Linked DNA regions of Struthio camelus. The protein of the gene in region 2 interacts with the protein of the main gene of each other region in a pairwise test. Links are inferred from orthologs where the notes say so. Each region holds a gene or a part of one and is shown on either strand. Other genes may lie near its edges.

Evidence for each region.
Region 1: the proteins of HIP1 (region 2) and LITAF interact in binary tests that used the Homo sapiens proteins (3 or more experiments, as listed by UniProt). The link is inferred for Struthio camelus from reciprocal best matches to the Homo sapiens genes HIP1 and LITAF.

Annotation. Positions count from the first base shown.
Region 1 is NC_090956.1:12,990,026-12,997,297, reverse strand, and holds the start of LITAF (lipopolysaccharide-induced tumor necrosis factor-alpha factor), read right to left. Parts: upstream 3,012-7,272; 5' UTR 2,934-3,011; intron 1-2,933.
Region 2 is NC_090957.1:9,397,363-9,404,465, forward strand, and holds the start of HIP1 (huntingtin-interacting protein 1), read right to left. Parts: upstream 3,082-7,103; 5' UTR 3,005-3,081; coding exon 2,888-3,004; intron 1-2,887. UniProt on the Homo sapiens protein: Plays a role in clathrin-mediated endocytosis and trafficking. Involved in regulating AMPA receptor trafficking in the central nervous system in an NMDA-dependent manner. Regulates presynaptic nerve terminal activity.

The DNA of each region.
Region 1 (7,272 bases), on a different chromosome or scaffold from region 2:
CTTTAAGAATCCCTTATAGACTTAAAGACACATGAGAAAATGCTCTATGGAATTGTCTGTCTCCCTGATAAACTTTCTGGAGTGCAAAAATGATTATTAAAGACATTTTGCACCAAAGAGAGCTACAAAGCAACAGAAAACTGAACAGGCACCATAGATCCAGTGAAAGCACATCTGTTGTCTTTCCAAGTAGGAACAGAGGAAATAAGAGCATTTTATTTTGCTAGCTACCACTTCAGAAGTAACGCAATGCACGTCCCTAATTAAAGGAACGAGCACTGAGAGCAGCCATCCAAAATCCCATAGCTAATGGAAATACCAAGAATATACTTGGAGAGCGTAACCAACAGAAGGAAGCTCTGAAAGAGGTAGGTTTAAAACATCTATGTTAACTATCTGAAGTTGAGGGACATGATGTGAATTTGCAACAGTGGAAACAGTTTATCTCTAGCAAAATAAAATACAGGTAAATCTTAATCTGATAGTGAATTTCTCTAACAGTTGTATAGTTCCTGAAGAGAAACCAAAGAATCTCTATAATTAGCAACTGTTAAAATCAGCATTTCTAGAAACTATGCTAGGGATAAGATTAGCTCTAGCAAAAAGATCAGGTTGACTGTGACAATGATTATAGCTGACATTGGAATTCTGCATATAATTCCCAGTGAGGTCAACAAGTATATGTAACGGTTTAAATTGTTGAGTGCTGTGATAACAAAGTGTCAAAGCAGGAGAGTGCTTTAAATGATGGTATACAATTCAGAAAACTGCTGAATGTTTGCACACAATATGAATGTTGAAAATATTTCATCTCATAGAAAAAAATGTAATATTGTTTGCTAGGAAAAGAAAACTATTTCCTATACGAGCAGGTTGCATGTTCATAGTTCTTAATTACTTGTGCATAGCTAAGGCACAACAATAAATGAATTGGAGAAAACTTTCAATTTCTCATTACTAGCACAGCTGAAAAGCATGCTACTTGATTGCTTTAACCGAGTCTGCCAGTATGCTTCACGAGTTCCCTGTAAAATACTAAACGGAGTTCTTTGTGCTCTCCAGCTGTGAGGATCAGGGGTACCTAGGGCCCTGCCCTAGCTATAAGCCTTAAGCATTAATTGGGGACAGGTGGAAGTGACGAAGTAAGAGGAGAAGGTTTCAAGCAGTTCTGAAGGATTAACTGCCCTGTGCTTTCTTCATAGCAGACTGGAAACTTTCCCATGCTATAATTCTGCACAGATCAAGCAGCCCATTAGCAAAGACAAGAAACTGATGTGAATGAATCTACTTTGTTCTCCGTGTGATTTACTAAATTTGGGTTACAAATCACCAAAAGTTTTGCAAGGACAAAAAGTTTTCAAATTATGCTAAAAGAGATTGCTGGGCTTCTCTTACGGCTTAGAGCTGTGCTATTGCTGTATGACTTTTACCAGTCAGTTCTGTCATAATTGCATTCACACTTTTTGTACAAAAGGGCCTGACCTTTCTCGCTAACGTGAATGTCTTGCTGTTAGGACACTCATATCACACAGTGGAGTGCCCGTTTGTGGTTACGTATGTAAAACAAGCGTGTCCGTAGGGATTCAAGTATCTCAATGGGATTTAAACATCATATGAAAGTTCTGCCCCAGAGCCTACCTCTGCATCTGTTGACAGAAAGATTAGTTACTGTCATGGCCAACGTTGCTCTGTCAGACCAGCCAGACCATTCGTTATTAATAGTGAAGGTAAACCCCTGGTAGTACTTGATCTTGCACTTTCTTTTAAAAAACAAAACTACAAGGAGGCATGCTTAGGGTGCTCTGTACAAGACAGCCGCTCTGCTAATGCTCCAGACTGGCTAATTAGGATTCAGGAGCAGTCCAGCATCACCATCTAGACTGCAATTTTAGGAAGGCCTACTAAGACACCAAACTGTGTGAGCAGGGCTGCACAGCTTCCAGGAAAAACATGTCTCATATGCGGACAGTTTTGAAAGTGAGTACAGATCAGGTGCCGACTGTATCCTTCTAGGTACTGGGTAATATTTAGCTTGTCATTGAATGAGAATGGAAAGGGGACAACACATTCATGACTGTCACAAGCCCATGGCAGACAGAGTGTTAGTGCAGGGAACAATTACTTTTCCTCACTCGAAAGCCGTGCAGGATATAAACCAGGATCTGAACACTGTAAAGCGGGTGCTTGTGTAGGCACAAAGTGCACAGCAACTTCTGAACGCCTGTCACGCTCTATTCCCTCCAAGCTTCCTTGGCTGCAGCTCTTAAGACTTCAAACGATTGTCAAACAAGCTGAGAGCTGTTTTGCCAGCAACCGTCCTACCACATCAGAGAAGTGAACGCTCCATGGTCATCTTGCTGTGACATCAGTAACGATCAGTGCAGCGGAAGCCGGGAGGAACCCTATTTTGGGCAACTTCCTGATGCAGTTACGCCGTTACTATGCCCCCATAGGGTGATTTACTAAATATGGTGGAGACGGTGGGAACGAGATCGTACAGAACACGTTTGGGAAGGGATGACCTCAGGGGGAACGAGCCCAGCCCTGCTCGGGTTGGGCTCTTCGTGCGGTGCGCCCAGGCCCAGCCGGATGCTGTCAGCACAAACAAGCACAGCGCTGCCCCCGGGGTCTGCGGCGCAGCGGTCGTGGCGCACTGCTGCGGCAGGAGCCGCGGAAGGGCCTTTTCCCGGGGCACAGCTCTAGCACAGCCGCCTTCGCACACGCGGCGCGGCCTGGCGCCCCCCGCCCCGGCGGCTCCGTGGCGGCGCTCCTCGGCGGGCCTGAGGGGCCGCCCGGGCCCAGCAGCCGCGGGCGAGCCCGGGGCCCGGGTCCGGCTGTCGGGGCCCCGCCGGGCGGCTGCTGCCTCACGCCCGCACCTCGCCGCCGGCGGGGCCGAGCTGAGGCGGCAGCCGGAGGAGGGGGGGAACTTTTACCTCAGCTTCGCCCCGGCGAGCGCTCCCGGCGAGGGGCGGCCGCCGCTAACGCCCCGCCCCGCGCGCGCGCCCCGTCAGCCGCTGCCGGCCCCGCCCCGCCCCCCGTATAAGGCGGCGCGAGGCAGCCGTCGCGCCCGCTGTGGCGTCGGTGCGTGCGCCGCGGCGCGCGGAGCCCCTCAGCCACGGTGAGCGCCGGGGGGGTGGGGAGGGTGCCCGCGGGGGGGGGGCGCCGCTGCCGCCGCTGCCGCGCCGCCTCCTTTCCGCCCCCCCCCCCCGGGGACGTCTGAGGGGCTGCGTGTGGCCGCCGCCCCCTCGGCGGAGCGGCGCGGCGGCGCCCCGCAGGCCCGGAGCGGGGCCGCTGCCCGGCGGAGCGCGGGCGCCGGGCGGGGTCTGGCGCTGCGGCCGGGGGTCGCTGGGAGGCCGGGCGCCGCGCGGGCGGCGCCCTCGGCCCCCCCCCCCCCCCCGAGGCGGGCGCAGGTGCGGGCTCGGAGGGGCCGGAGCTGCCGGCGAGAGTCCTGACTCGATTAAAAGGTCGTAGAAACGGTGCGGGCTGGGGCTGGGGCGGCCCCCCCCCGCGCGGGGCCCTGCGGTCTGGGAGGCTCTCGGGAGCAGAGTATGAAACCCGCTTCGGCGGTGGGAGAAGCGTGTGGGAGCTGTGTAGCTGGCATTAGACAGAGCCGTTAAAAAGAGTGGCGCCTTTCGATTTAACGTTTGTTTAAAACAATTTAATGTTGCCGTTTCAGCAAATTTGCTAATATGTCGGGAATTAAGCTATGACATGGGATGTACGTATACATAGCATGTTACCTCTGATGACTGAAGTTCAGGAGCGATGGTGTCATCTCATCCGGACAGGCTTTTCAGTAGAGCTAGCCGTGGATACAACAAATTATGAATATAAATGAAGAGCGTGACGGCCACTTTTTCTTGTGGTTGCTTCTGTTGAAGCAAGCGTGGCCTGAACACTAGCAACCTCCTCCCAGGCCCACGTAAATTGGGCTGCTTGGCTCAGTGAGGGTTGCAGCACAAACCTGTTTCACTGGCTGCGCTATTGCAAATGTCCGTGAACTCTTGAAATTGTCTGGATGTATCTGGAAAACTCACCAGAGTGCAGCTCTGGCCTCTCTTCATCTTCTGTTCTTCTGTAAAATATTGACTTCCCTGTAATTTAACTTGGTGTAAAGCTTTAAAACTGATTCTTGCTCAACTGTAAGGTACTGCCCTACACCTTGTGTTGGAGCTAATTGCTGTTCTATTTAATGCTATTAGCAATCATATTTGCTTCTAATGTTTCTAAGTGTTGCCCCACTGCTAAGTTGTTTGAATTCTCCCTTCTCTCGGAAGACTGCCCTGGACAGTGAGGCCTATCCATAACCAGTGAGCTGCAGAAAAGCCTCCTTTAGCCTTCTTCCCTTCTCTTTTATTCCCTATCATAAGTATAATAAGGGATGGGGGGGAGGAAACTTGCCCTGAAGGATTCTACTGCTTGGCAGCTCCTTGCTTCTAAAATAACCTTTGACCAAGTCCCAGTTTGTATCATAAAGAACTATCATTAAACTGTAGCTAATTGAGAAGAATGGTGATCTTGCTTTTTTTGAAAGTAAAAAAGCCCTCGTGCAAACGGGTACAGTGAAGTTTGAGCACTCTGTATACCGAAGACCTCTAATGCAGGGTTACGTGGGAGCTATGCGCGCTAGTGTGCCAATGGCGTAATGACAGTTCTGATCTCCCCTGACTTTCTCTTCTCCTGTCTTACACTGGCAGCTAGGATGCTCTTGCAATAAGCTTGCAGTATGCCTCAAAAGTAATATTACTTATGGATTTTGTACAGTTGGTAGCATGCTTATTTTGTCTCTTAAGGATCTTAACGTGGAAGCTTTTTAACGAAGCAATAATCTGACTTTTGTTATTGTGTGGGTTGTTTTGTTTAAGTGAGAAACCTCTTCAGTAGTTTTATTCACGTTTCCCTTCTCCTGGCCCCATTCAACTTTCTGTAGCTGAAATATTGCAATAGAAAGTATATCTCTTATATGCTAATAAGCTATTTCCTTATAAGATACTGGTATTTGCACGTTAAATGTACTGCTGGAGCACTTTGATATGTTTGGGTGAGCTGTACTGGATTTACTTTTGAAGCTTCTTCCTATAGCCTTGGTTTCTAATTTAGCAATAATTCTGCAGAAATGTGCCTACCGGTATTAACTGCAATTAACTTGGCAGCAGAATGCCTGTGACCATGGAAAAAATGGGTTTAGAAACTGTCAAGCCAGCCTTGAGTAGAACTTGCTGCTAGTAGCCTCCTGCAATTTAAACCGGTTTCCTGTTTGTCCTTTTGTTATAGTTTCTGGCTTAATAAAACTAGGGAAAAGTTCTGAGTGGAAGCGGTGCTCATCAAAAACACAAAAACAAAATCCAAAAAACTGTTATTTCTAGAAGAGTGACCTACGGAGCTGATGTTTTCGTTGTCTGATTGCTGTAAGAACTGAGATTAGGCAGTTACCCACCAGTGAATCTGACTAATCTTGCTAACGAGTCTAGAGAGATTTAGCAAGTCTTGCTAATCTTGCTTAGATGTTTACTTTGAGGGAAAGTGGGGCGGGAAAGGAAATGACACTAGAGATGCCACCAAATATAAATGGATGGAGCTATATATTCGAAGGAATTGCTCTCTCAACATCTTATGAAGTGGTGAGTGAAGTCAGTGCTGCGCCTGGTGTGCTTATGAGCTTTCTTAATGCAGGTATGTTTTAAGAACAAAACAGTCCGGAAGCTGGTTGTAAGCTCCTCCAGATGAATTGAAGATCTACAGAATGCAGTATTTCTACAGTCTAGAAAGACTGAAGACTCTGAAGACAGCTTAGTTTTGATTGACTCAATTCCTGGTGGAAAGAGGAGTTTGGAGTTGCATATATAGAAAACAAACAAGCAAAAAAAATTAGAGGCCGCCTTGGTAGCTCTTACTAGTATAGTTACAACGTGCAAGGGTACCACACTTGGGTACAGAATTAGAGCTAAAGTTCTCCTGCAGCCTTAGGTATATAGTGACTTAAAGGCAGAAAAATAGCAAACAAGACTGCATCCGAAGCTGATAAAATAACACTCACTGCTACCATCACAGTTACTACCATGCACCATTAACTAGGTGCTTTTACCATTGTGAAGTTGTACAGATGCTTAATATCTGACTCTATATAGGGTGCTGGCTCCAGACTGCTTGAGTGGGAATACAAGGATATGCCTATGTAAAGATGAACTTCTATGCTTTACCATTGTATCACTGAGAAGTGGGAGCTCAGGGAGCTGTTTTGAGAAAGTGACCTTGAATTTTATCCATCTTTCCTTTTTGTAGAAGGTAAATATCTGTGGACACATTTTTCCAAAAACATGTAGGCTTCCGCTCTCCTATAACTCTGAGCATTAAGTATAGTGTGGTACCAAGATGCGAGGAGCTTTCTGGATAGGAGCTAGAAAGGGCTTCTTGATGCAACCTGATTATCCTGGCAGTATTAATGTGAGATCACACTCCTGTTTCCCTACCTAGAGAAATGGAATTACTTGGATGATGCATCCTAAGGGAGTTGTGCCCTTCTCTCACATCTGAATCTGACCTGGATCCTTTGAATTTTTTATCAAGCCAGAAAGCAGTCAGCTTTAAACAAACTAGAGACCTAAGGATCTGGCCAAGAAAGATAGGGGTCTGTAAGTAGCTGTGTACGCTGAAAATTTGGACCCTTGTTTAATAAGGGTAAATCAGTCTTGTACATCCTGGAGGTCCTAGTTCTCTACCTTGTCATCTCAAAACAAAATCACTTCAGATATAAGAGAGCCTAGCCCAGCTAGAAATAACTTTTATATTATAAACAGAGTGAGCATTCACGTATAACATCCTGCTCAAAGACAAGTCCTGCAACTTTCTGTTGTATTTTTATCTACTGCTGTTAACATCTCAGTCTGCTCAAAAGAGCTTTTCTAGTTAGTTGATTATATTAAATACAAATGACCCTTTAGACCAGAACGATAATTACTTTAAACAAAAATACAATGAGAGCACAACTGTGGCAAAGTCAAAGAATATTAATAAGGCAGAGTTTGCTGCGGAGAGTTTGCTGAAAGGTTTTGGGGGTTATTGAGAGAGGGAACACTGTGCTTAGGGTGGGAAAAGGTTTAACATTAGGACTTGTTCAAAAGGTAGGGGTTGGGTTTAAATTGTCTCACAACTTCATGTAAGCAGTAGCAGTGCTATTAAACAGCAATCGCGCTGTTAAATAGCAGTGTCTAAGAACAGTAAATAAAAATTGAGAGCACTATGTGCTTCTTTACACAGGGGCACAAATAAAAA
Region 2 (7,103 bases):
GTCTTATCCAGGCTAATACAAGGCCCATTTTGACATGTCTTCTGCACGTGGAGGATCCTTTAGCCAGAATATTCTTCCTCACCAGGGCTCTACTGTTATGAGACAGGCAGGTTTGGAGGGAAGGAGGGAAGGAGCTTGTGCATAAGGAAATACAAGAAAAATCCTCATTTTAGAAATCCTTTAAGAGAAGAAACTTTTGTGAAAAAAATCATTTCCAAATAAAGAAACATTAGATTTTATTTAAAAAAAAGCTAAAGAAATTAGTTTCAAATTGTGGATGCCCAATGTGTGCAAGATCAGAGGGGGGCCTGGCAAGTTCCTTAAACTGGAGGGAAATAGGCAAAAAATGAAGGTAAAAGACAGGAAATTGCTCAGAGCTGAATACATTGAAGCTGAAGAAATAAAAGACCTGAAGAGACTGAGCTAGCATTTCAGGAGAGACAGGTGGTGCCGGGATAGCACCTCCTAGAAACACATGCTGTGTCACTTGTCTGCAAATTACACGGGAAAATTAAATTTAGATCGTATGGATGTTCCAAGCTTTGCAAAGACTGCGGTGCTGCTGGCACTCAGTCCAGTCCTCGGGTGCTGTGCCGCGAACGCTGCTCCCCGCAGCCAAACTGTTAGCCCTCTCCTAATTATCACCTTCTGGGTGGGAAGCAAAGGCTCCCGAGGGTCCCGAGGGAATACACTGCGTCTTTGAAGTGGAGATCCCATTAGCCCATGCAGCATGGGGTCATTTACTGACAAATGGGACTTGCTGTTCCTTGTTAGTTGCAGGAAGACTGTTCAACTCCAAAATGAAGAGGCTTTTGCTGTTTCCTTATCCTGTCAAAGGGCTGTCAGCGCTTAAGAAGGCAGACAACTGCACGCACTGCCTTTAGAGTTCAAAACTAGTCCTAGTTCCACCTTTAGCACTATAAATAATTAATTTTCTGGGTAATTTAAGCAAGGAACATGAGAAGGCTCCCTATGCATAACTGCACGTTCAACCTTAAATCTTCTTGTTTCTCTTTCTGTAAAAAACTCAGAGTTGATCCTTGTTCTTTACCACCTAGCCATTAAGCCACACGCCATTCCCACTCAGCAGTGCTATAGCCTTGCGTGGGATGCCAGCTTTATCTGTGTCTTTCCAGGTCATATAGCCTCCTCTTCTCCACCCTCAGAGCCATCTAACCCCTTCCTGAACCACCTCTACTCCTTTCCTGCCTTAGTTTTACTTCCTCTTCCCCTTGAGGGGCCAGATTCTTTGCTTCCTCACACCTCCCACATTCGCTTACAGCAGTGACTGTAGAGTGGGAGTAAAATGTTAGTAGATCATTAGTGCCATCAAAATGGCACCAATATGCATTTACTTTCTATGATTTCACAAAGTGCAGAACAGAGGCATGCTGTCCCCAGCCCTGCTTCCCGTTTCCATTACATTTACATACACAATCCTTTCAAGCATCTCCTTTCCCTGAAACTGCCCGCTTTTCCCCCAAAGCGCCCACGTGCCCCCTCCCCACCTCCTGCCCGCAGCCCCCCCCCATCCCATGGGCACTCCCAGGCAAAGGGGCGCACTCCACTCCGTGCTGCATTTGAAGGATTGTCTCGCTCCCAACTCCAGAGCCACAAGCTCTGCAAGGCAGAGGGTTATTTACCATATACAATTATAGAGTTGCATAAGATACAAAAGATCCCAAAGCAAATAACAATGCGCTGGGGCAATGGCACAACCCATACGCAGCTGACCAGCAAGCCCGGCCAACACTAGCCCTTCTGTGCAAGACAAAGTGCACATTCTGCACACGCACGCCCCCAGGAAGAACCAGAGAAAAGTGGCTTTTATGTTAGTGTTTTGTACGAATCTAAATGTTTAAGTAAGAACATTACAGAAGCAGCAGGCGCATGAATCCTTCAGCCTTGAGTCTCCTAATGAGTTCTGGAAAGTGCAAGCTACTGAACCAAATACTCCCAGCAGACGGGCAGATAGGATCTGAGCCACCCTATGACAGGAAGCATAGGTGAAATATAAAAAGGCCCTCAAACTGCCTCAACTCTAAACATATGCTCTGGAAGCTGATGGTGAAAAAAACCATGTCTTCTTTTAAACACATCACCTGCCTTTTCCTAGGAGCCACATAAAGGCCCCTAGGGCCTGTCCTAGGGCTGTCCCTGCAGCCTGCACCCTCCCTTTCTACACCAACAGGACGGTTTGGGCAGGTGCCTGCGAGCACCACGGCGGGTCCCTCCAAGATAACAAACACCTAGCACGGTCACTAAACCCGCTTGCGGTGCCTGTCTCCAGCCTAAACAACAAAGAGGCTCTTGCAGCGCTAAGGGCGTTCATGGAGAACACGATCCAAGCCCCCGAGCACACAAGGCCGAGGCAGCACCGGCACGGGCACAACTCCCGGCCCCACGGGCCGAGCTTGCGCCCTGCCCGGGCTCGGCGGCTGAACTCCTGGGCGCACAGGTGGAGCTCGCACGTTTTGCTCCCTCAGCGGCCACGAAGACGGCCAGCGCCAGACACCTGGGGTGCAGGGCCAGTCTCCCTGGCCCCCTGGGAGGCGCCGTCAGCTGGGACAGACCACGCGCCCACAGAGGCGCTGGGCCAAGGACACCACTGCCGTGCCGTGCCCAGCACACCCGTCGTCCGGGCGCCCCCACGCAGCCCCCTGGGCCCGGCTGGCTCCACCCTCCCAGGTCGGCCCCACCCACTTCGAACAGCTCCGCCCACCTCGGCCCCACCCAGTCAAGCCAGCTCCGACCACCTGGGCCAGCCCCACCCGCGGCAGCCCCGCCCACCCGCGGCAAGCCCCGCCCACCCAGGGGGCCTCACCCACCTGGGTCGGCATCGCCCGCTTGGGCCAGCCCCGCCCGCCGCCGCCGCCCCGCGCGGTACCTGCGTGCGCTCGAAGCTCTCGCGCTCCGCCTCCAGGCCGCCGCCGCCCGCCCGCCGGCTCAGCACCTTAGGCAGCGGGTTGGACACCTGCTTCATGGAGCTGCTCACGCGGTCCATGGCCCCACTGCGCCCGCCGCCCGCTCCGGCCCCGCCGTGCCGCGCCCTCGCAACCGCTCCGCTCGGCGCCGCCGCTGGCCGGACCCCGCGCCATTGGCCCGCCCACCCGCCATTCACGCGCGGGGCACGCCCCCACCCGCCCCGCCTCCTCCCCTGCGGCTCCGCCCTCCGCCCCGCCCCTGGCTGTCATTGGCCGCCCCCAACGCCACTCGGCCGGAGCTCCCGGGAGGACCGGCCTGAGCTCGCTCAGGCGGCCAGCTTCACGGGAGCACGGGCAAGCTCACTGGCCCGAGCGGATGGCATTCAACACCAACTCCCGCCTCCCCGCGGGAGCCACGCCCTCCATCCCGCCTCTTGACACCTCCCAGTTTAGCGTGCCCACCCTAGAGCCGTGGCCCCCGCCCCTCCCTACCCTCTCTGCTCTGATTGGGCACGGCGCCTGCCGCTCACACCCCGCTGCCACTCCCCGGGCTGCGCCCGTGGGCTGGCGCGCGTGGCGCCCCCTGGCGGGGGCCGGGGGCAGTGCAGGGCTGGGCGGGGCCTGGCCAGCCCTGGGCCCCGGGGCTGCCCCGGGCGCGGGGGGCCCAGGGCCGAAGGGCTCTGAGCTGTGGCTGGAGCTGGCGCGATGCCGGGGGGGGGCCTGGCCGGGTCGAGCCGAGCCGGCGTGGTGGGACTGCCGTGGGCAGGCGGCTGGGAGCCTCCAGCAGCAGCCGGCCTGCTGCGCCCCGTCCCTGCCCCGGGCTCTGCCCAGGCACCAGGCCACGCGGTTCCCTCATATACCCCTAGCCTGGCCTGGGCTGCCCTGGGAGGGGACAGCGTGCTCCCCCTCACCAGCTTGTCACAAAGCGTAAACTGACCAGGTAAGCGCTTGGAGGCATGCCGCGCTCCCTGCATGGCCCCGCCGTTCCAGCTCCTCCGGGGAGGGATGGTTTACAGGGAGCCCGAGGGGTGCATGTCTCCAGGGCACTGTCTTCCACCCCCTCACCTTACCTTTGCTGGGGTGAACTGTGCTCCCGCTATCCTGCTGAGTAGTCTTAGTCAGGCTTGGCTTAAGATCTAGGTTGGATTCGTGGCTTCAAATTCCTGCTTGGGACCAGGGAGGAAATGTCAGGGAAGCATGCCTCGGGTGGTTTTCTTGCAGGTTAGCCTTTGCCTTTGCAGGTCAGTGTCGCTTTGGACAGGGAGACCAGCAGCGTGCAGGAAGGCCCTGTGGGTCTTTGCCAAGGGGAGATAGGTGCTGTTTTGTCCAAGCTGTGGGCAAGGAGCTTGGGAGACGTGTGCAGCTGTGGACACAGCTGGCTGAGCAGAGCAAGGAAAATAGACAGGTCATTTCTCTGGTAACGCTGGCAGATGGGCAAAATATTGTTACTTCTGTCCAAAAAACAAGGAAAGATAAAAAGGAGATGTTTTTTACTTCCCCTGAACAGTTGAGAGATTGGTGGCAGAAATGCTCTTTAGGATAACATGATCTGGGTTCGTCTCTCTGGTCCGTTCACTCATCTGAGACTTGTATTGTGGCCTGATCTTTGCCCTCTCTCAGCCCAGCAAATCACTAGATTACCTGGCTGTGGCCAGCTCTTGCGGTTTTGACCAGGAATCCCCTTCCACAGTAGAGGAGCTTTTCCCACTAGGATGTTTGTCAGAACTTTCACATTTCTGCAAAATCTCCCAATTCTGACAAATCAGCATTTTTGCAGAGAGCCTGAAAACCCTATCAGGCTGTTCCCTGGTTAATCCCTGATGATGGTAAAGGGGGCTGTGCTGGGGTTGTGCTAACCAAATTCCTGGATTCTTAAAAGCAAGTCATACAAAATCGGCATCTTTACATAAGGAGTAGCTGTGCAAAACCATCCTGTCCACCACTGCCAAAAGTGATGGGGGTAATCTGGCAACAACATTTGGGATTTCTTCACATTGAGAGCTCTCATGCCATGAGCTCTTGTGTAAGCAGTTCTTCCCTGCACTTCTGAACCTTTTTTTCAGCTGAAACATTTGCCAAACAAGCACCCTTCTGTAGCTGGCCAATGGGACCTGTGAACAGGCTGTTTGTACTATATGTCTTACACTAGTTTGTGCTCCTGCCTTGGCTATCAAATTCCCAGCGGATGGCAAATGGCCTATACTGTGCAGCAAGGCCATCTCCTCCCACACCAGGTTGTCTCGACTCCCTGTCTGCCTTCTCTCTAATGTACTTTCTGGAAACCTGCCTCCTTCCTTGGGGCTGCTCCCAGAGGAGGTTTAATGGGTTTAGTTCAGTCACTGTTGCAGCAAGGTGATTAATAATTGAAGAAATGACGTCATTGCCAAATAGAGATTAAGTAAAGAAAGAAGAGTGGAGGGCACTTGACAAAGGAACACAAAGCCCTTCCAATACACTTATCTCTCCCACCCCTCAGTGTGTCCAAAAGCATCCAGCTCTGGCATGACCCCTCCGGCATGCAAGCCTGGATCCTGGAGGGCTGAGTTCTCATTAACCTTCGGATGAGAAACCACAAGGCTGTGACTTGGGTTAGCTGCTCCCTCTTCCTGAGGAGCAGAGTTGCGTCCATCCTTTCCTGAGCCTGTGCAGGACAGAGGAAGGTGGCTGGATGTGGGCTGCAACATGCTGTTCCTACTGGCTGCTCCTGTCTTCACCAAGGAAGGAACTGTGACAGGATGGAGCTGGAATCCAGCCCATGACAGTCAGACCACCCCGGGCTGGCTTAATCCATCCAGTGGCTCTGCTGGATTGTGCTTTCAGGCTCTGGCCCAAGCTCAGCTGCTCTACAGGAATTTGGGGGACTACTTTCTGGTGAGAGCAAGTGCCTTGCTCTTAGGCAGACTATGAGATGCTGTGGGAGAGCACAAGGCAGAGGGCTGTTCCTGAGGCGAGGTCTTTTCCTCTAGGTCAAGTGGTTTGGAGAGATGGAAAGGAATAGGACAGGAGGTCTCGGTGGGTGGCTTGGGCTGTGGAGCAAGGCGACCATCCTTTCTTTCAGTAGCTACCTGAGATGTTTGTACCTGAATATCTTCTTTAGGACGAAGACCCTGGGGCTGGTATCTGCTGGGACATGGAAAGAACTGTGGGTCCCCTCTCTTGTTGCCTCTAGGCCAACCTAGTGCTCAGCAGCACATGACACTCAGCAAGTGCTGGCTCGGGGTGGGGAGATGGGACTAGAGCTGGTCCTTTCCCTAGCTGCAGGGCTCTTTAGAACGACCTTCCCTTGCTGCTCACCTGCTCCAGGGCCCCTGCCCATAACAGTCCAAATGGAGGGCTGCTCCCTTTCCACAGGGACGTTCTTTCTCATCTTGATCCCAATCAAAGTTGACCCAAAGGCTCCATAAGCAAAGGGGAACATGAATGGCAGCAGGGGGGCCAGAAGGGACTGTTGAGGGCTGTGGGTCTTGACAGGCTCTGTTCTCAAGAACTGGGAGCTAGAGGCTCCCTTTTCAACCCTCCCTCCCCAAACAGAGCTGGGAGAGTCCCAGGGTGCTGTTGCAACACTCTTCACCCTCTCATGGCCTGGACAAGGCTCAGGGAGAGCACAGATCCCCCTTGTTTCAGCAAGAAAAAAGAGGCATAGAGAAAGCCACAGTCCTTCCTCTGTTATCCAGCTGGCTGTGCTGGAGCAGACGGGCACAGAGCTCTGTGCAAAGATCCTTCTCTTTTTTCCCCCTGGACATGAACTCCGAACCCTGTGTCCGAGCTTCCGTCACCATCTTAGACACCCTAAGACACAATGTGCTGATCCCACCAGGGGAGGCGAGCCATCCCTGGAGGGCGCATCTCCTGGAAAGCCACACCGGGGAAGGTCTGTGGCCATTTGCTAAGCCTTCCCTAAATACAATCATACAACCACAAATATAAGTGTGACCTAGTGACGGGGCTATTTGCTGACACCCAGAGACAAAAGTATCTGATGAACCAAAGTGTCCACCTGATGCAGGGGTAGGGCAGGGTGCAGGATGGTGGCCCAGGCCCAGTGGAAGGGTTCATGGGAGAGCAGAGCACACATGGTATCACCTTGGGCAGTGCAGTGCACCAGGGAGAGCCTGCACATGCATGGGTTTTGATCTTTTGATTCCATTTTTCTAAAGCTTTGGGTAAAACAGCTGCTGC